2 linked regions of the Rattus norvegicus genome follow. The protein of the gene in region 1 interacts with the protein of each later gene in a pairwise test. Links are inferred from orthologs where the notes say so. Each region holds a gene or a part of one and is shown on either strand. Other genes may lie near its edges.

Region 1 (3,559 bases):
GTAGGCCAGGCTGGCCTTAACTCGGAGATTCACCTGCCTCTGCCTCCCAAGTGCTGGCATTAACCACCCACCAGGCACGTTTTTAATATTCTGGGTTTGTTTTTACATTTATCTGTTTGTGGTGTGTTTGTATGTGTGTGTAAAACCTCAAACCATGACAAAGAGTGTGGAGGTCAGAGGATAACTTTCGCAAGTCGGTTCCAAGGACCAAACACACATCGTGACGCTCAGTAGAAGACTCCTTTACCTGCGGCTGAGCCTCTAAGCCTCTGAGTCTCTGGGCCCCAGCTCTTGTTTACACTGTGCTGCACTCAGCCTAAACAAATCACAGCTACCGCTCCTCACTCTGCTCACACTGGGCTCAGTGTGGATGCCAACCAGGTCTGGGTTAGGTGCTGATTGCATGGGATTGTGTTTGACGCAGCAGATGGACGCAGTGACCCCACCAATGATGCTGTCACTCAGCCTCCCGGCCTGTCTCGTGTGCAGAGAGTGCTTTCAGGACTCTCACCTCAGCCTGCGGCTCCCCATAAGTCTTCAAGTATCTGTCCCCAGACGTCTGCCGGTGAGTAAGAGTGGGAGCGCTGGCACCTCAGGAGGCAGTCGACTGTGGTCAGAACGCAGAGGCTAGAGGAAGCCACCCATGCCCTGCCTCATGGTTCAGGATCAGAGGCAGTGAAATTAGTCACTTAGAATCAGAGGATAGATGTCTGTCTACATGCCACACCGACCAGCACTTCCTCTGCCACCCCATTTGGCTGATATAATGGGTGGCTGAAACTATGTTCCACCTGCAACTGAGTCTAGGGCGAAGTCACACCCAGACGGCAGGGTGGGTCCCAGCTCGGAGCACAAACATGGCTGGAACCTAGTGCAGGCCCAGAGGCCCTGCATTTTAATGTCAGGGCTCCTCTGCAGACAGACCTACTGCATCTGGGCCTGGGGTTCTCAGGCACTGTCATGAGGCACTGAGAGGCACAGGGACTTGGCTCCTGTGCAGAACAGGCTGAGCAGGACCACAAGCTCACAGAGCTTCCAGAAGGGCTGGGTCACCTTGGGGTAGCCTGAGAGGCAGTGATCATTGGCCCATAAGGCCTGGATGGCCCTGAACACTCTGCACAGCTCGGCGGTTGTGTGTTATAGTGATGGGGAGGAGGGGAAGAAACCAACCACAGTTCTAGCCCAGGGGTTAACAGGTGTCTTGAATGGAGGGGCAGCATGGAGAATTAGGACTGGGCTCTTCTCAGCTGGGACCTCCGAGGGCACATGACTCAGGCCACCTCTGTGGCAGGGAATGGAGGATACCCCATTGTAGGTCCAGTAAAGAAGGTGACAAGCATCCTGCTGGGCCCCAGGACGGCCAGGGACAGCTTCAGTACCCCCGGGGGGCAGCTTGGCCCTTGTTCTCCAGGCTTGCAAGGGGGTCTGCAGGTGAGTCTGACGAGTCAATTGTCTGGTAGGCACTATGTTCCTGAGAAGGTCCGAAGAAATCTAGAGGACAGGGAACAAGTGGATAGAGAAAATGAGACCATGGGGCCTTCTGCTAAGCACAGACAGATCCACCATCTGCCATGGCTAGTGTTTGGCATCATGATACCAAGGACAATGGGCAGTGGCAGAAGCCCAGACACCAGGCCTTTACCAAGCAGCGTCCACTCAAGCCTAGCATCGGTATGGGTGGCTCTGCAGATGAGAGAAATGCGAGGGTCAGAGAGACCGGCTGATTTAAGACCCTGTGGCATGAAGCAGATGACACTGGGGTCCAACCTAAACAGCAGCTCCTGTGGTCAATGGCTACTGTGTCACATCTGCCCCGGAAGCACACGCTCAGGTACCTGAGGAGGGGGTCAGTCCTGAGCCCACAGACTTTCTTCCTGCTGTCTGCCAGGCGCTAGGACCCATATAAATCACCATTTCTAGAAGCCACAGGGCCTGACACAGTTGCTGTACCCAGAAGGCTGGGGCTGAGAGTACAGAGCAGGACAGAAGGCACCTGTGTCTCTCACATTTCTCCCTCTGTATATTTGCCCTGAGACCATGGACAAGTCCCAGGAGCAGTGGACCTTCCTTCTCCTGTCTGATCCCTTCACACCCGGGCAGGTCTAGGTGAGCACAGAGATAAACCAGAATGGGCAGCCGTAGGCCACTCTGGCACTGGCTCAGCACTCTCTCATGGGATCCTCAGGTCACCTGGAGACCACACCCAGCTCCCACAGGAGAGCAGGGTCAGAGAGGGCAGGAAAATGGCTTGGCCCGCCACCAAAGAGGACAGCGTGGGCTGAGCCAGAGTCTAGAAGGCTGGTACACAGGGCTCCCTGGCCTGCCTGCTCAGAAAGGGTACGCCCCACATGGCAGGAGCGCACACCTCCAGAGGCAGGGCTGGGTGGAAACAGGAGGAAGGAGTTGTCCCCACAGCCATCTGCAGCCCCGCAGCAGAGGCTCCTTGCTGCCACAGCGAGCTGAGCAACTCCACGCCTCCACTTGTACTCTGGACTGAGGGAGGGCCACCAAGTCTGCCTGACAACAGGAAGAAGTCACACCAGACTGGTGGCTGGGCCGGGGGCAGGCGGGGTGGAGTGGGACTTACCCGAGCGGAGCGGGAGCTCACCCCCTCGCTCCCGGTGCATGTGGTAGACGAGGCAGCAGGAGAAGGGCTTCAGCAGCAAGCTGAAGATGGCCATGCCGGCACTGAAGCGGCCAGTGTCCCCAACGGCAACGCTTGAGTAGAAGATGCTAATGTAGATAATGTCCAGGAAGATGGTGGCAACCAAGCCACCAAGAAACTGCAAGGAACACCATCACAGGATCACGGACACTGACACCCAACCAGACCCCAAGTTTCCCTCACACACACCAGGCTGGTGACCGGCATCTTGTGACTGACACCTGCATGGTCTAGGAGCATGGACACAAGAGTCTGGCTCTAACCTGTTGCCCCATAATTCCCCACCCCCATCTCCTGCCATTGAGATCATGAGGGGCCTATCTCCAGAATTTCTGAGAGGGACACTTCCTTGGAGCCCATAACATCTGGTCTCGCTGCAAGAAAACAAGGGAAACAAACCCCTTTGTAATTCTCCTAAGGAGACACTGGGGTTCTGTGACCTCCCCCCATGTCTGTCTTGGGGGGACAACAGCAGAGGTGGGTCGCTGTGTAGCTGGCCTGGCTAGGCTTGCCGTGTGCAGGGCTTTAGAACAGAAAAAGATGGGGTGTGAGGAAGAGAGAAGACTGGGGCAGATGAGGGGCCCACGGATGGAGCCACCTCCCCACCGCCAACTCACCATGCCAATGGCATCAACAGAGTCCCGCTGGGCCACAGCCCACACACCCAGGGCCAGGATAGTGAAGTTGCCCCAAGCATAGGAGCCTGAGAACGCCAAGCAGCCCCTGCATAGAGAGACACTATCAGTCACCGCTTTGAGCTGCCCACCCCTCCCAGTTCCTTCCCCTGCTCCAGGGTCTTAGCCACAGGTCTTCTGTGTCACTCCTGCCCCCTGCAGGCAGTTCTTGAAATAGCAAGCAGTGTGTGAATCTGACCATGTGACTCCTCCACTCCAA
Region 2 (4,080 bases), on another chromosome or scaffold:
GACACTGAACGCGCCGGACTTTATACTTATTAGGAAGAAATTTCTTTTTAACAAACGGCTTTTTATAAGTGAAAGTCGCAACACCAATTACATGTGCGTCAGGTATTGGGAGAGCTCTCCATTCCTATCAAATATGCAAAGGGAAAAAAAAGAAAAACAAACAAGAACTTTTCTAACCAATTAGCCAAATGCTACCCTAGCAAAGCCTCTGAGGTGAATTGGGGGTCCCTGGGGCGAGGGGGTCTCCAAAGATAATTTCAGAGAGCTGACAGAAAAGGTCAAAACGCTCTGCAACGCCTACTGAAAAAATTCCAAGAATGTTATCTTTTACCAGGGTCCAGGAGGCGCCGGGCGCCTTCCCGCTAAATACCCTAGGAAAGGATGCAGCTCCAAATAGGTCCTTTAGGGTCGCGCTAGCGCGGCCCGCGAAGGCTCGCACGTGGCGCCAGAGGAAGACTCAGCCCCCGGACCAGGTGCTCTGATTGGTCAATGGCTGCCAGGGCCGAGTATGCACCTGAGCAGAGTCCAGAACCAGAGGGCACTGAGGGGAACAGCAGCCACGCGGGCAACTCCCCGAGCTGCAGGTCCTGCGGGTTGGCCCCACGAACGCAGTCACCATCCGGCTGCGCCAGCCCACGTGGGCCTTGGCTCGCTGCAAGTGCCTTCTCCCTCCTCCCCCACGCAGGGTTGCTCTCACCTCAGCGCTTCTGGCGCTTCCACCTTGAGCTTCTTGGGCTTCGGCTCGTCCGCAGCTGCCATCTTCGCACTCTCACCGCGGTTTGGCTCTGCCGCGCGTCCCGCCCCTCAGCCCGGTGGCCCCGCCCCTCTGCTCGTCCCCGCCCCCTTTCCACTAAGCCCCGCCTCCCTGAACTCCGCCCAATCCGTGACTCTGGTCTGTCACCATTGGCTCTACGCGCGTCTGAAGTCCCGTCCCTCCAGGACCTCATTTACTACGGTAAGGGACCCAAAACGCAGTTAGGCTGCGGGTGAGCGCCTGCGCTCAGGGAGTGCCAATCTCCCTGTTCCTCCAGACCCTGAGTAATGTGGAAGATTCAGAGCCTCAACCTCCGGAGACACCGTGCCTCTCGCTGAACGCCTTTCCGCTCGTTGTTTCTTTCTAGTCCCGCTGACCTCCTCGGCGCCTCGGAGGCTGCTAGTCAGGCAGTGTGTTGGGCACTCCAAGCGCGGGGTCCTCGCGGCTTTCTCTGCTGCTTCAGCTTCGGTTCAGAGAGGACCCGGCACCGAATCACTGACTCGCCCAGGTGTCGGGGTGAGTGTGAGGGCGGGGAGTCTCCGGGTTGGAGACATCTCAAAAGCCGGGGAACAGACTGCATAGCTCCGGCTCGGGACTCTCTCTGGGGCTCCAGGAGTGTCCCTGCTGCTGTGCACCAGGGCCGCGCCTTCCCCCTCACACCCGGGCTTCCTAGTCAGCTGGGCCGGAAGGGAGCGGTGCACCTGCCACGTAGGGTTCTCGGACCCTGGACTCCAGGCGCGAGAAATGACATCTACAGTGAGGTGGGGTACCGACGACTTGAACTTGTCAGCCCCCAGGTTTGGCCGTGGAGGGCAAATCCCCCGATGACGCTAAGAGAACGCTTTCTTTATAGGGTGGTGCCTGGACGAGCTAGCCTGGGATGGGGAGACTGTGAGAAGGGTGTAGCAGCTTCTCACGAGACAGGTGACAGGGCTGTAAACGGAAAAGGCGGCTTGGAGTATGGAAGCGTGATGAGTGGATGAGTGGATGTCATGGATTTGTTTAGTACTGAAGCTTTAACTTCCTGGTTGAGAAGTCGGGTCACTCGAAAAGCTTTTTTTTTTTTTTTTCAGCATTTATTTGAGATTTTGGCTTGGAAATACATTACACAGAAGAAAGGAATTTTCTGCAAGCAAATATATAAATCTCCTTCCTTTGTATTGAAAAAAGAAAATGTGCCCCCTTTGTTTTTAGAGAGGACAGGACCTTTACCTTCCCACTGCTATTACCTTCTGTTTCTCAGTGCCTTCTGTCTTTTAAACTTTATTTTTGCATTTACTTGTTTGTTGTATTGTGTGGCATGCCACAAAACACATGTAGTAGAAGTTAGAGGACAACTCCTGGGCTACAATTCTCTCCTTCCACTATGAGGATCTTAGGGATCAAACTCAGGTCCTTAGGCTTGATAGCAGACACTTTTTTTTTTTTTTTTTTTTTTGATGAGCCATTTCAGCCTCCTTTTCCTACTTGCTGCTTCTAGCTAAGAACCATACTGCAATGTCGTTGCCAACATCCTACTGAGTTATCACCAAAATTACTTTAGCCAAGATCGCCGATGTCCATTTGACATCCAATACGACAACCATATATTCTTGGTATGGATTTCAAAAAAAAAAAAAAAACAAGTCTTGGAGCTGGAGAGATGGCTTGCCAGTTAAGAGCACTAGGTGCACTTTTGGAGGACCCAGGTTCAAGTCCCAGCCCTCACTCAGTGACTAACAACTGTCTGTAGTTCCAATGCCACGGGGATCCTACTTCCTCTTCTGGCTTTTCTGGGCACTGCGCACACAATGCACAGATAGACATGCAGATAGAGCACCCTTACAAATAAAATAAAAACTTTAAAAAAAAAAAAACCTACTTGCGAAGCAACAAAAGTTAAACCCTTCTTTAATGCCTAAGTCATAGATGTACTTTAAATAGGCATATGTTACTTTTTTTTTTTCTAATTTGTGTGACCTCGGGTGGGAGATGATGGGGTAGAGATGGCTTAGTAGCTAAGAGCACTTGCTGTCCTTACAGAGAACCCAAGTTCAGGTCCCATTACCCACATTGGGTGGCTCTTAACAGCCTATAACTCCAGGGAATGTGGTGTACTCTTCTGGCCTCTGCAGGTCCCTGCACGCACATGGCATATACTCACAGAAGTACATACAAAACTACATCCAGAAAGTATTGGGTTCTGACCTGCCTGAGGTGGGTGCTGGGAACTGAACTCTGTTCCTCTGCTGAAGCAGTGCATGGTTTTAATCCCACCCCCTGTATCTCCAGCTTCAGGAGATCCACCAGCCACTCCTGGCCTTCACGGGTCTGCACTTTAAACATTCACAAACCCACAGCAAATACACATAATACACATTTAAATTATAGGAAAAAAGACTTATCAAACAATCTGTAGGGAACAATATGACTGGCCGAGGGGGGAAAGACTGGAAATTTAAAAGATCACTGGTAGCCAGAAATCATGGCATATACCTTTAATCCCAGCACTTGAGTGGCAGAAGCAAGCAAACTCGTGAGTTGGAGGCCAGCCTGGTCGTCAGAATGATTTCCAGGACAGCCAAGGTTACACAGAGAAACTCTGTCTTGGAAAAAAAAAATAAAAGAAAGGAAAATTGTAAAACCTTTTTTGAGACTTATTTTTATTATTTTTTGTATTATTTGGGGTTTATTTGTATTATTGTATGTGTTTGTATGTGAGTGTGTATACATGACTGCCGTGCCTATGGAAACAAAGGGCAGTAGATCCCTGGAGCTAGAGTTATGATCTGCCTGATGTAGGTGCTATGATTGAATCTGGGTTGGTTGGGTTCGGGGAAGGGGGGAGTTGTCTGGGAGGGGGGGTGTTTTGTTTGGTGTTTTTGTTGTTGTTTGGTTTTTCAAAACAAGGTTTCTCTGTGTGACCACTCTGGCTGTCCTGGAATTTGCTTTGTAAACCAAGCTGGCCTGGAACTCACAGATATCCCCCTGCCTCTTCCCTTGAAGCTTCAACACCAAGCCCAGCAGAATCTGGGTCTTCTGTAGGAGCATGTTTAACATGCTCTTAACCAGTGAGCCATCTCCAATCTGGAAAAAAAAAACAAAAAATAAAACAGAACACTTGTGTTCATCTTTTTAAATCCTCACAGCTTGACTTCTTTGTAGCATTCTTGTAGAAAGATACTAAAAATCTCCCACGTCCTTCCCCATCTTAAAAACCCTGCTTCACTTCCATCTTAGGGTCTGTCTGTCTGTCTAGTTCCACTTCCTTGACGCATCTGCTCCGCAAATACTGGCTTTTCTTTCATAAATGTTTCTTGCTGTGTTCATAATCTCTTTGAATGTAA

Evidence for each region. The genes of interacting proteins can lie anywhere in the genome.
Region 2: the proteins of Agtrap (region 1) and Ap3m1 interact in binary tests that used the Homo sapiens proteins (3 or more experiments, as listed by UniProt). The two-hybrid records come from large-scale screens. The link is inferred for Rattus norvegicus from reciprocal best matches to the Homo sapiens genes AGTRAP and AP3M1.

Annotation. Positions count from the first base shown.
Region 1 is NC_086023.1:163,792,132-163,795,690, forward strand, and holds part of Agtrap (type-1 angiotensin II receptor-associated protein), read right to left. Parts: intron 3,389-3,559; coding exon 3,283-3,388; intron 2,784-3,282; coding exon 2,588-2,783; intron 1,492-2,587; coding exon 1,373-1,491; 3' UTR 1-1,372. UniProt on the Homo sapiens protein: Appears to be a negative regulator of type-1 angiotensin II receptor-mediated signaling by regulating receptor internalization as well as mechanism of receptor desensitization such as phosphorylation.
Region 2 is NC_086033.1:3,294,975-3,299,054, forward strand, and holds the start of Ap3m1 (AP-3 complex subunit mu-1), read left to right. Parts: upstream 1-1,243; 5' UTR 1,244-1,270; exon of another isoform or gene 1,271-1,515; intron 1,516-4,080. UniProt on the Homo sapiens protein: Part of the AP-3 complex, an adaptor-related complex which is not clathrin-associated. The complex is associated with the Golgi region as well as more peripheral structures.